3 linked regions of the Callithrix jacchus genome follow. The protein of the gene in region 2 interacts with the protein of the main gene of each other region in a biochemical or structural test. Links are inferred from orthologs where the notes say so. Each region holds a gene or a part of one and is shown on either strand. Other genes may lie near its edges. The genes, in order: CHEK1, CDC25C and PLK3.

Region 1 (4,322 bases), on a different chromosome or scaffold from region 2:
GAATTTGAAGCTTAGACATTATGAATGTACTTAAGCAAACAGAATCAAATGCCAACAAAAAATTCAGGAGTCCACTAACAGATACAGGGCTTAACTCACACATTCACCTGTTAGATGGCAAAACTAATATCACAGGAAAAATATAAAGAGAAAACCAACATCCAGATCAAGAAGGCAAGCCATGCCTTAAAAGCTGCTCTTCTAAAGCCCCTGCTTCCTCTTATACTAACACTTATTTATTCAGTATCCTTCAAATTCTCCCCTTTTTCTTCTAAATGCTATGCTAATATTTTTTTCATGCCTGAAATATGCCAAGGGAGAAGTCTGGGCAAATCTAAGCCAATTTCACTAAATATTTTACAGATTATACTTTTTATTATTTAACTTTTTTTTTTTTTAAGAGATAAGGTCTCGCTCTTTCACCCAGGCTGGAGTCCCTGGAGTGAGATCATAACTCACTGTAACCTGGAAGTCTAGAGCTCAAGCGATCCTTCTGCCTCAGCCTCCTCAGTACCTAGGATTACAGGCGTGTACCACCACACCTGGCTCAGATTTAAATATCATATAGTCTCACACTACAAAGTCACTAATGCCTGTGAAGTCCTTCATGAAACACAGTTTTATTATAAGAGTTCTTTTATCAGTTTTTTTTATACTTTGATCTCTCTCATTAACTCCATTTCTTTTACCCTCAATTCTCTCCTGAGTCACACTGGGGATCCTATTACCTGTATCAGTTTTTAATTGTTAATACAATAGCTTTAAATTATAAATTTAGATCCACAAATTTATTTTATGTACTTCTCAGTGTTCTGTAATATCAATTCTTTGATTCTACATAGATTAAGTATTAATAGCAAACACAGAATTTACCTAATATACAAAAAGCAATCCTAGAAAATTCTTAATTATTTCATGTAAACCGGAAGGAAACAACATGCTATAATTTTAGATCTGTAAATACATACAATAATTTCATGTAATGAGAATATCTACAAAGAAAAAAATTGTATAGGCAATACATTGCATTTAGGATACAGTGCATTTATGATGTACCATAAAACTACAGTTTCTCACTCTTAAATTTTTTAAGACACCAATCTTAATCAAAATCACTTACATAACTTGGGAAAGGAGTTTTCTTTCATTGACTCTACGTATGCTTTGATTATTAACACCAGTTTGAAAAATTCTTTAAAGATAATTTATTCCAATTTCACTGTTGCATGAGCAATTCTGAAAGGACAATGACTTAATAGCATACCCAAGATTTAAAAAACAAATTTAAAAACTTGTTTAGAATAATTATCTTAAATTTTTTTCCATACCTATTCTGTCAAAAAGCTCTCCTCCACTACAGTACTCCAGAAATAAATACTGGATATTGCCTTCTCTCCTGTGACCATAGAATTTTACAACGTTTTCATGATTTAGCATTTTATTGATACAGATCTCTTTCTTAATATTTTCTGGACAGTCTACGGCCCGCTTCATATCTACAATCTTCACTGCGACCGCTTCTTCAGTTATTCTATTCACAGCAAGTTGAACTCTAAAAAGGAAAAGAGTTTTAACATTACAGAATACCATTTCTTCTAAAACTTCCAAAGGTTATACACGACCCATCTAAAACTATTTTACCTTTATTAATTTCTCCACAAGGGAGAAACCAAGGAAATAGTTTCTGCTATGTTTGCAATAGATACTACTCCTTTTTAAAATGTGAAATACGACAGCTAACACTCCAAAGAAGTCCTTATGTTGTCACACAAGTCGTTTAATAAACACTTCATAAAACAGATTGAGGTAATTCTAAGCCACATCACATATGTACATATTCTACTCATATACTTTTAAGAATATTAATCCCATACTATATGTGCCTGTGTAATTGACCGTCCTAAGCATCTATGGGGTAGATACTATTATTGCCATCCTTAAGATGGTAAAGGAAAAGTACACAGTGACATTAGAAAGCTTGCCTAAGATCACAAAACAACGACCAGTTTGTGATAGAGCAAGGATCCAAAACCAAGCAGGCAATCTCCGGAGTCTGCTCATTTGCTCAATTAACCACAAAGCTTAAACCCTGAGAAACAATCTGTGGGCACAGAAACAATAACTTCGTGTCCCTTCCAGCTCTTTAGAAAGAAAACTTTTTTTTTTTTAAAAAAAAAGGGAAGAAAAAAATATTAATCCTAGTAAAAGACTGTGTAACTATAGTTGCCAAAAGACTTGGATCTCAAACATCTACTCACCAAGTCACCAGAGTATTAGACTCCAAAACAGTGAATATGCAGACAGAAAACAAAGGCAAGGTAAAAGAACTCAAACTCACTCTCCATAGGCACCTTCTCCCAGGGTTTGCACCAAGTCCCAGTCTTCCACAAAGGGCACTGCCATGACTCCACGGAGCACCTTGGCTGTAAAAGGCAGGAATCCAGAAAAGATGGAAGGCTAGAGTAAAATCACCTATGAAGCCACTGCGCCCCGCCTCTCCCCAGGATTCCCCACGAGCAATAACAGCTCTTGCCTTCCCCTTATATCTCATCCATATTTATCCAGGTCTTTCAACCACGAGCAACTATTCTAAACGTGGGCATTTTGTCGTGTAACTCACAATCGCTATTCATGCCACGCACACCGAAGGCTGAAATTCTGCCCTCCTCAAGCCTAGAGTAAATTAATCGTGGTGAAGAGGTGGTGGACAAATGCTTTCTGGGGAAAAAGGTAGGAGAGATGGGGGTCTGCGGAAGAGAGTAAGGGGATACAGGGGGCGGAACTGGGCAGAAGACGCCGCGGTAGCGCCTCCACCCAATCGCTCAGCTCCAATTCCCATCCCCGTCCACACCCGACCCGTCCCAGAAGCTGGGGCGGGGCCAAACTGCCTCGAGAGGAGTAAGAAGGACTGGGACCCAGAAGGACGGCGCCTAAACCCCAGGGGTTCCTAGCCAGCAGCAAGTTAGTCCTTTCTCCCCGCTCACTCCCTCCACCCCGACAACCGGAACCTCCTGGTACCACATTCCTCCACCCTCCGAAACCGCCCCTCCGCAGGAGTTTCTCCAATCCCCTGCGCTAGTCAATGCTAACTTTCTCCCACCTTGCCCGTCTCACTAATCTAGACCCCGAACTCCTTCTTTAGAATCTATTCCTACCCTACCGGCCGCCCTTCGTCACCGGGCTGTCCTTTGCCCACCACTGCAGGAATCCAAATGCAGCGCTTTTCCCGCCAAAACTTGCTGCCGCAAACGCGCGCACCCGTGCCGTAAAGCAGGACAGCGCGCGTTACCGTGTCCCACCCCTCGGAGGATCGGCTGCTCCAAAAGACTGACGGTGCGAGGTTGCCGCTCCGGCCCAGGGTTGCTTTGCAGTCGGGGAGAGATCCTGGCTGAAGAGATTTAAGGACGGCGGACTGCGTCGGCGTGAATTGAGCTCTGGGCCCAAATATGAAGTGGCATCCGGTGTGTGCGGCTCGGCTAGGCCGTGCTCGTCCACTGCCGGGCGGAGCCGAGGCCTCCACGCCGAGGGTGCGCGCGACCGACCGCGCTGCGCTTCCAGGCGGGGCTGCGGGCATCGCTCCGGGTCGCGCTGGACCTGAAAGGCTGCACCGCTACCTGCTTGAGGCCACCAGCCTGCGACAGGACTGTGAAGATCACAGTTAGTGGGTGCTGCAGAGTGTTTTGTAAACTTCAGCGTGCGGTACCCGTGGTGTTGGAGCCGAGAAACTAGCAGCAGCTGCTGAGAGCTGTGAAGAATGAGAGGAACTCCGTGTAGGGAGCGAGAGGCATCGAAATGACTGGCCACGCATTGTGTGTGTGGCGTGGGAAGTTTCCCAGAGAAAGAAAGCAGTTTATTTTGGAACTTGAGGTAAAGTCAGGATAACCAATTTTGCTTTTTGTCTGTGAACCGGCTCCAAAACAGTGCTTTAGTTCAGCCCAATCTTTTTGGAGGAAGACCATCTGCTTAGCTTAGTTCTTCTACAGACTTTCATTTTTACAAGCGGGGAGAGCCAAAGTAAATTTTACAATGCAAATTTAAAAGCGGCGTACAGAAAAGTAAATTCTGAGGAAACAGACTTGAGAACCAAATAGGAAAAACTGAAATAGGTATTCTCTGACGATAAACTAAACTGGAGCTCAAGGCATAGGCAAGATCATCTCCATACATTCTCCAGTACTAGCCGGGCGCAGTGGCTCGTGCCTGTAATTCCAGCACTTTGGGAAGGCAAGGCAGGAGAATGGCTTGAAGCCAGGAGTTCAAGACCAACCTGGCCAACATAGTGAAACCTCATCTCTACTAAAAGTACAAAAAACTAGCTGGGA
Region 2 (4,386 bases):
GTCTCAGTTTCTTTCAATGTTTTGCAAATGAGCCAATGCCTACTTTCAACTCAATCATGTAATTAGTAAGCTTGGTTAATAATAAAAAGGGGAAGAGCTTAGCAGTGAAAAGCAAGGGCTTTTTGAATCTCTTTTAGACTGCTTTTTGATACTACCTCTACCTACCACGTGGGCAGTCACTTAATCTCCTGGGCTGTTTCCTTTGTCAAAGAGAAAGTTTTGTTTCATTGGATGACTGTAAAAAAAAATGAGAATATACATCAAAGTATGTAGGCCAGGTATGGTGGTTCACACCTGGAATCCCAGCACTTTTTTTTTTTTTTGTTCTTTTGTTTTGTTTGTGGCCCAGGCTGAAGTACAGTGGCATGATCTCAGCTCACTGCAACCTCTGCCTCCTGGGTTCAAGCGATTCTCCTGCCTCAGCCTCCGGAGTAGCTGGGATTACATGTGGGCACCACCACGCCCAGCTAATTTTTGTATTTTTTAGTAGAGATGGGGTTTCACCATGTTGGCCAGGCTGATCTGGAACACCTGACCTCAAATGATCTGTCTGCCTTGCTTCCCAAAGTGCTGGGATTACAGGTGTGAGTCATCATGCCTGGCCATTTGAGCACTTTGTGAGGCCAAGCTGGGAAGATCATTTGAGGCCAGAAGTTTCAGACTACCCTGGGCAACATAGCAAGGACCCTCTCTCTACAAAAATAGAAATAAATATGCTGGGCATGGTGGCACACCCCTGTAGTTCTAACTACTCAGGAGGCTGAGATGGGAAGGACTGCTTGAGCCCAGAAGTTCAAGCTGCAGTTAGCTATGATGGTCTCACTGCATTCCAGCCTGAGCAACAGAGCAAAACCCTGTTTCTGCAAAAAAAAAAAAAGCATGGTGTCTGGCACATAAGTGCAATTATTAGAAACTATGTGTCCCACACTTCATGGTGCCTGCCTCTGCTCCTTTTGCCAAGGGGAAATAGGCAGTGCAAGGTAAATCTCTCTACCCCTATTTTCTCAGTTATTATTGTACCTCACTTTTCCTCTACTCTTTTTCAGTTTGCAGACTTTGTGGCTCCTGCTTCCTCATCTACCTGGCTCTGTGAGGAAGATCCCCACCATTGGCTCTACTTTCCAGCTGATCACAGCTATTTACCTGTCCCAGTCATGAGTAAGGCACAAAATATTTACAGAGAACAGATGTCTTTCAGAGGACTTTCTGCTAAGTGTAATAGTGAAGATTACTTGCATTACTGCTACTTTCCAATCAATTGAAAAAAAATCGAAAACTTTGCATTACAAAGAGATCACAACACGAAGGCATTGTTTAAAGCCTCTTCTTCATCCACTTTTTTGCTTGTCTCCCTGAACCATCTGTGAGGCTGAGACTCAAATTTACATAAGAGCCAGAAACCATCAACCCAACCTCTTCACACACTAACGTCTACATTCAGTCTCTAAAAAAGACTTAAACTTTGGCTCATGTGGGAAGTGGTGGTAGTGGTGGAGACTTAATAAAAGGTGGTTTTGTCTTCCTGAAGTGGAAATGTAGGGCCGTCACATCTTTTCACCATCTGCCTGTTTCCTCCCTCCCTTTCTGTTTAACGAAAGTGTAACCACCGTACTTCTCCCCACCTCCCCGCACCTCCCCCCACCCAACGCAAGCAACTGAACCGCCTATGATGTCATAATCACAATCCCATTACCTCATCCTGCTGGGGGGGGGGCGGAGAGGGAGGATAGGGAGTGAACAGCCTTGGGCTATCCTGAGCTTTACAAAGTGTTCTGGGTGAGGGCAAATTACAAAACCGAGTGGAAACGGCCCCGCAACCATTGTAAGTCCTGGGTTTTTAAGATTCATGCCGATCCGGCAGCTGCAAGAGGGGCTCCTGGGACTCAGAGCAGGCCCTGATCGGCGCTTGGACCACACTTCCCAGCAGCCTTCACGCGGCGGACAGGTCCTTTGCAGGGGGAAGGGGGAATTCCTTCGAAGAGGTGGCCGTGGAGGGCGGAGCAGCAGAGCAGGTGATGGGGCACTGTGGCTAATTGCGTGACGCGGCCAGAACCGCGTGGGAGGCTGTAGTTGGGCCGACGGAGGGAGGGAGGCCAGGGGCGATGCCTTTGTTTACCTTCTTCCGACGGGGCCTCCCCCGCGGGTTTCAAGATGTGCCTCCGACTGGGACCGTCCACTTTCTGAGAGATTTTGAAGGGGTGACTCGTTAGTGAGGAAACCACCCCCATCCCTAAATCAAAGCGTCAGGCTACTTCCCGACAGCGCTATCTGAGAAAGACGTTGACAGAGACACCACACGGGGCTGCGGCCTCCGCGGGTGGCTCGAGGGGATTCTGCTAGCCGGAGCTGTCCCCCTACTCTCCTCAGGGACTCGTTGGTTCGCGCCAGCGCCTTTTAAGGGCACCGTGGGGCGAACGGAGCGCTCAGAGCTGCTCCGGCCGTGGCCCTGGGAGCTGGAGGAGCTGCGGTAGGTGGCAGAGGGCAGGTGGCGCTGGGGCCTCGGGGCGGGCACCTCAACTGTCCCTCCCTCCTTCCCTCTTTCCCCTCCCCCAGTCCTGCCGCCTGTGCGGCCGGGCCTCGCAGGCCGCCTCCGCGGGGAGAGCACGGGACCCGGTGGGGGAGGGGGTGGCGGAGTGCTAAGTCCCAGACCCTCCCCATCCCTTGCGTCGGGAGTTCGCTTCCCGCGGCCAGATGATGGAACCTAGTGGGAAGAGGCAAACGCCAGCCCCCCTGAGCAAGCCCTGGCGACCCCCCCCCGCCGCGGACCAGCGGACGCCCCATGCCCCACCCCGCGGGGACAGGCAGGGCAACAGAGGGATAGCTTGAAGATTGAAGGGGCCTAGCCTTTTGCTTCTTCATGGGGGTGGGGGAGGGGTGTTTCCCACTTGTCACCACTATTCCCACCAGAACCATATGGAAGAAGAGGCGGAAGGTCTCCACTTACCTGTTCGTGCACCTCCCTGCCTTCCTCATGTTTTCCTTCAGTCTCCCCAAGAGGTGTAGGGCTGGGACCTGGGGGAAGGTCCCCAAGGGATTTGTGACTCTCCTCCCTCTTGGCCTGACTTGATTCTACCTTGTCTAGGTTCAGCACAACCTCCGCATCCCTGAAACAGGAGTGTCAGGGGTTACTGCCATCCAGTAGCAGATGGGGTGGGGGTCCGATCTTTATTTTAGGGGGCTGATGGTGGAGGAAAAGCCTGGACTGAGGGTTAGGCCTGGTGGGGTTGCTGAGAGGGCCTAGCGGCCTGCTGCTCTGTGAAGGGCTAAGCCCTTGTGCCAGTTGTTAAACTGAGAAGTTTTAACTTGTTTAGTGAACGTTCAGGGCTGTCTCTACCCTTCAGATACACAAAATGGAAGGGGAAGGAAGGCAGCAAGATCGGGCTTCTTACACTTTTTTCAATGCCTGCTTGAGAAAGAGGAGGCCCCTCGCGGAGCTGGTTTGCCTTCTTTTGTGTCCTGGTTTGATTCCTTATGGCTTCCGTTCTGTTCCCCCTCTCAGCCTGGCCTGTTTTAGGAAACTCAGGCTGAGAGTATCAGTTGCGTGGTGGTAGTTGCATTGTTCCAATTACCGCTGTGTGTGGCCACATCCCAACAATTAAAATGCAGAAAAACACAAATTCACTCTATTCACCTATCCTAGAGATGATTGGGAGTTTGCTGTTGTCCAAATATCTTTCGAAAAGCTAGAGAGTTTGTTTCACTACCCTGTTCCTCCTAGCTGGTGAGCCTGAGGCCTGGGGTCTCTAGGGTAAAATCCTGCACTTAGGTTTCCTCTCTGGTTGATCTTTGAAGGCAGAGTTAAGAAACCAAGAGCAAAAGTGATATAAGCTTTAGCTTCTCCCATGAGAACATAGGGGAAGCAGCTGAAGGGAGCTCCCCGGAAGCTAGAATTTTGTTCAGGGTGGTAATAATTATGCATGAAAATGGTAGTTAACTCTAATGATGATTGACTTCTCTTGCACCTTTCTTCCAAAGAACTCCAAGTACATCCAGATTCATTTCTTTGCTCTTCCTTGTGGCCTCCTTCTGAGGTGTGAATGGGTTAGAGATGATTTCCTCTTTATTGTACAGTGGTCTGCCCCCAAGGTCACAGAAGGAAGAGCCTTCTTGGGCTTTTTTTTAGTGTGCAGGTGAGGGAGGATGGTATTCAGCCAGAGATAGACCCTGTTGCCTTCTTCATCTTACTGATATCATTACTTCTGACATTCTGAGGTCTTGAAGATTCACAAACAGAAATGAGAAATGGTAGTCTATGTGGACTCCTGATTTTTACAGGCCAGGTGGTACCTTTTGTACATTTTAGTATGTTATGTTGTTCCTGTGACAGGTTTAGATTATTCTACCTACTTTACATATGGGTAAACTGAGGCCAAGGAGTATTAAATG
Region 3 (4,383 bases), on a different chromosome or scaffold from region 2:
ACACCCAAGACTCACTCTTCTTCTTCTTTCTGCCAAAGAGGCTCTTGGTAACTTTGGCAAACAGACTCCTAGCCGGGTTGGGGGGTGTCAGGTCTGGGACTGTCACACAGCTGCTGATAGGGAGTCGATCAGGGGTGTAGCCCTAAGGAGGGGAGCCATGTGAACAGAGAATAGAGGCTCCAGGGGTCCTGTCACCTGCCCCTTTTCAATCGCTGGGAATACACAGACTGGACTTAGAGGTCTGGGGAGCCACAGACCTTGGCAAAGAAGTCATGGCGCAGGATCTGGTCAATAGAGGGGCGGTCTCGGGGTGAAGCCCGAAGGATGGCAGCCAGAAGCTGCCGGGCAGGCAGTGAGAGGCTGGCAGGCAGCGTGTAGTGAACCTGCTTGATGCAGCGATATGTCTCCTTCAGGTCTGCTGTCTCAAAGGGAGGGGTCCCACAGAGCAGCGTGTACCTGTAGGGCAGAGCCAAGGGGTCAGGAGTCAAGTGGAGGGGATGCCCCACCCACACACCCACCACCTATCTGCTGCTGACCCTGGTCCCTGAGACTCACATGACACAGCCCAGTGACCACACATCTGCCTCAGGGCCGTGGCCCTGTCTCAGTAGCACTTCTGGAGCCACATAGTTGGGGGTGCCACAGATGGTCCTGAAAGAGGGTGAGGAGGAGGAGAGAAGGCTGAGACGTAGCCCAGCAGCCCCCCACCCCTTCCCCCACTGCGAGTCCAGACAAAGCAGCTGCCTGTCACCAAAGGCCAGAGAGCTCCTGCTTGTCCTGGGACAATGGATGCCAGGGATGGCAGCTGAGTCCCTGCCTACCCGCCTGGCCCAGCTGCTCAGCTGCTCTTCATGACAGGGAGAGGGCCTGACCCCCAGCCCTGTCCCCTCCTCCTGGGTCAACACAGAGAGTCCACAGCTGATCCCTTCTCCCTTCCTGCACTCCTGTCTGTCAGACAGGCATCAGGCTGTCACCTCCCATGGTCTGTGCCACACACACGCCAACACCAGCTGTCACAACCCCCATAAACACTCATCTGCCACACATGCTATCTGTGTCCGACACATGCAGGGAGATGGCCACAGCAGGGTCTTCTTACACCCAGTGTCATGTCCCACCATTCCCACTCTCAGTCTGTCTCATACACCACATGCTGCCTGTCACCGTCCCCCATCCACACACAGGGTAAGTCATGTGCCTCCAAGAATCTGTATATCCCCATCTGTCTCAGGGATTCAGGGTTACCTACCCTATCTGTGTCACACATCTATAGGATCCTCCCTCTCTCCACCAATCCCAGTAACACAGGCTGCCACCTCCACCTTCACACACGCATAAACAGCCCATCATCCCTTCCCATTTATCTCATGCAAACATCAGACAGTCATCTGGCCTCCTACATACATATGCACTGTCTGTCACATATGTCACACACAGACTCCTTTCCTCAAAACTCACTTCTTCCTCTGCTCTGGGGGCTCCAACCGGGCTGCCAGTCCAAAATCCCCCACCTTCAATTCCATGTTCTCAGTGATGAAAAAATTTCCTGGATGGGGAAAGAGAGGTGTGTCAGATTCTTCCTTCCTCCTTCCCTCCCCAACCTCCCATCCTCAGGGCTCAGGAGTCTCACCCAACTTGAGGTCCCGGTGCAAGATGCCTCGCTGGTGCAAGTACTTAAGGCCTGAAAGGATCTGCCTCAGGTAGTATCGCACCTCTGGCTCCAACAGGGTGTGGCGGGCCTTCCAGATGTGGGCCAGGGACTGCAGAGAACCACTGCCTCAGCCCCTGTTGGGACCTCCCCCACCCCCTCCATCTGTGCTCCCTGTGGAAGAGACAGGGCCCCAGCTTTGGGTCTTAAGACTCTCTTCTCAGCTGGGGTGCAGTGGCTGATGCCTGTAATCCCAACACTTTGGGAGGCCGAAGTGGGCGGATCACGAGGTCAGGAGTTCGAAACCAGCTTGACCAACATGCTGAAACCCCATCTCTACTAAAAATACGAAAATTAGCTGGTCGTGGTGGCGCCCACCCGTAGTCCCAGCTACTCAGGAGGCTGAGGCAGGAGAATCGCTCGAACCCGGGAGGCGGAGGTTGCAGTAAGCTGAGATCGCACCACTGCACTCCAGCATGGGCGACAGAGCGAGACAACAAAAAAGACTCTCTTGTCTCCCTCACCCTCATCCCTGCTGGAATCACCATCTTTCACCTTTCGGCTGCAGAGCTCCAGGAAAATGTAGATGTTGTCAGCATCCTCAAAGTGGTGCGAAAAACGCACGATGTGGCGGTGCTGCAGGTCTCGGTGCAGCTCAATCTCATTTAGGATCTGCGATGAGGGCACGGGGTCATCATCCTTCCATGGTTCCCAGGCCACCGTCCCCACCCCACCCCTCGCAAGCTGAGCCTAGACCCACCTTCTCACGCTGATGCGGTTTGGCGACGCGGCTCTGTGGGATGACTTTGACAGCGTAGGCGCTGCCAGTCTCTGTGTCAGTAGCCTCGTAGCACCGGGCGAAGCCCCCCTGTGAAGAGGGGGCATCAGGCTGGGTGTTCCAGGGGAGGCCGAGTCTAGCCCGCGGGAGTCCCCGCGTTACGGTAAAGCGCCCACGCCTGGCTTGGCGTCAGAAAAGAGGCCGGCCGGGACCCCCGCCTCCACCATCACCACCCCGGTGACGTCCCCCGGCCCACCTTGCCCAACAAGCGGCCTTTGAAGTAAGTGCGGCCGCTGCGCGGGTCCGTGATGAGGCGCCCGGGGTCTGACGCCGGTAGCCCGGCCAGCATCTCCAGCTCAGGTCCGGGCAAGGCACTCGGAGGCGGCCCGGGCCCGGCGGGGGGAGAGGGTGGGGCTGCCGCACGCTGGAAGGGGCGCGGGGACAGGAAACCGGCGGCGGGCTCCATGCGGGCGGCGCGTCGCAGCGCAGGGGCCCGGCTTCTTCTCGGTTCCGCCCGGCCCCGGCCGCGCGTGGCGCTGCCTGGATTTGCTACGCTGCGCTCGCGCCCGCGGTAGCCCAGCGTTTTTATCAATGAACGCCTGCCCCTCCCCGGCGTCTCGTCACCGAAAGTTCCGCCCCCTTCCTGGCGCGAGTCATGGAAAAGCCACACCCATTCCTGGACTTACGTCACCCAGAAGCTCCTCCCCCACCAAACGCACTTCCAAGCCCCGCCTCCTGGCCACGCCCTGGGGCGCAGCCCGTTTGCCAGTCACTGTGCAGGTGCGACCAGGCCGCAGGAGCCAGCTGATCCCTGTCCGTCTCTCACCCCTCCTTGACGACTGCGAGTCCCCCTCATGGGGGCCTCTTTCTTTCCCCATCCTTTGGAAAGTGTGCTGAAGTCCGAGTGGGACCCGGGCATCTGGAGGCGTCTCCCCAGCAACTAGATAGATCAGCGTTCTAGCCAGGAGGGGCGAGGCAGGGGCGGGCTCGCTTTTGCCCGGGCTTCTCACCAGCTCTCCCCTTTCTGTGTGCCGGACCGCGTGCGTCCCATGCCCTTGCCCGGGGCCTGGCACAGTGCTGCCTTCTTTAGGACCTGAGAGGAAGGCACAGTCCTGGCTTGCCCAGCCCTAGGGCTGCCTTGCCAGGTTTGGGAGTCAAGCAGAGCCTGGTATTTCAAGGCTTTTACCATGCTTCCAGGCCCATCTTCCGCTGCCCACTTCTACACTCTTGAGGGGCAGCTTTCGGGTTCCTGTGGACTCCCCAGTTCCCTTCCTCTGAAAATACCCCTGGCCTGGGTCAGCAGCCAGAAGGCCAGAAAGTGAAGAATGGGAATTGGATTTTTCTCAAATGCTAGCCACAGGCAATGGGGCAGCTAAGTCTCCGAAACATGTGGACCCTTAGATCCCTGCTCAATGCCCACCCTTCCCAGGGCCAGAGACAGAGCCCCAGGACCACTGGCCTCCTGGCCTTGGCTCTTATCTCTCTGCCCTCCCTTTGTGCCAGCAATCAATTACTATGCCATTCCGCCAAGATTTATTGAGAGTATCTGCTAAGTGCTGGACACTATCTCAAAACGAATCAAGGTCGCAGCCCTTACTTAGTTTACATTCTGCTTGATGGAAACAGACAATAGGCAAGCAGATAAACAAGGTAATTGCAGGCTGTGAAAAGTGCTATGAAGTAAGTAAACAGAAGAGCAAATGAAGGGCCTACTTTAGAAAGAGTAGCCGGTAAAGTAAACAAATATTTGCTGAGTACCCAAATCCTGTCAAGTTTATCTCTCAAATAGCTCTAATATCTATCCCCTTGGCTCCATCTTCCCCTCACACCCTGGCCTGGGCCACAGTCTCTCTGGTCAGGATGATTGCCACAGCTCCTTGCTGCTTTCCTGGCCTCAGTCTCAGGCCCATTTCATCCCGCTCCGTATGCTATTAGTAGGATCCCACCTAATCCCTCA

What was found.
Region 1: of the proteins of CDC25C (region 2) and CHEK1, one has a biochemical effect on the other in vitro, tested with the Homo sapiens proteins (16 studies listed by BioGRID and IntAct, with this or other methods). The link is inferred for Callithrix jacchus from reciprocal best matches to the Homo sapiens genes CDC25C and CHEK1.
Region 3: of the proteins of CDC25C (region 2) and PLK3, one has a biochemical effect on the other in vitro, tested with the Homo sapiens proteins (2 studies listed by BioGRID, with this or other methods). The link is inferred for Callithrix jacchus from reciprocal best matches to the Homo sapiens genes CDC25C and PLK3.

Annotation. Positions count from the first base shown.
Region 1 is NC_133511.1:25,236,052-25,240,373, reverse strand, and holds the start of CHEK1 (serine/threonine-protein kinase Chk1), read right to left. Parts: upstream 3,000-4,322; 5' UTR 2,634-2,999; coding exon 2,621-2,633; intron 2,424-2,620; coding exon 2,339-2,423; intron 1,553-2,338; coding exon 1,329-1,552; intron 1-1,328. UniProt on the Homo sapiens protein: Serine/threonine-protein kinase which is required for checkpoint-mediated cell cycle arrest and activation of DNA repair in response to the presence of DNA damage or unreplicated DNA.
Region 2 is NC_133503.1:36,753,435-36,757,820, forward strand, and holds the start of CDC25C (M-phase inducer phosphatase 3), read right to left. Parts: upstream 3,072-4,386; 5' UTR 2,945-3,071; intron 2,468-2,944; exon of another isoform or gene 2,426-2,467; intron 2,183-2,425; exon of another isoform or gene 2,181-2,182; 5' UTR 2,117-2,180; intron 2,013-2,116; exon of another isoform or gene 1,977-2,012; intron 1,823-1,976; exon of another isoform or gene 1,697-1,822; intron 1-1,696. UniProt on the Homo sapiens protein: Functions as a dosage-dependent inducer in mitotic control. Tyrosine protein phosphatase required for progression of the cell cycle. When phosphorylated, highly effective in activating G2 cells into prophase.
Region 3 is NC_133508.1:81,515,301-81,519,683, reverse strand, and holds the start of PLK3 (serine/threonine-protein kinase PLK3), read right to left. Parts: upstream 2,989-4,383; 5' UTR 2,893-2,988; coding exon 2,683-2,892; exon of another isoform or gene 2,517-2,682; coding exon 2,409-2,516; intron 2,321-2,408; coding exon 2,204-2,320; intron 1,761-2,203; coding exon 1,631-1,760; exon of another isoform or gene 1,613-1,630; intron 1,547-1,612; coding exon 1,459-1,546; intron 652-1,458; coding exon 556-651; intron 457-555; coding exon 258-456; intron 143-257; coding exon 16-142; intron 1-15. UniProt on the Homo sapiens protein: Serine/threonine-protein kinase involved in cell cycle regulation, response to stress and Golgi disassembly. Polo-like kinases act by binding and phosphorylating proteins that are already phosphorylated on a specific motif recognized by the POLO box domains.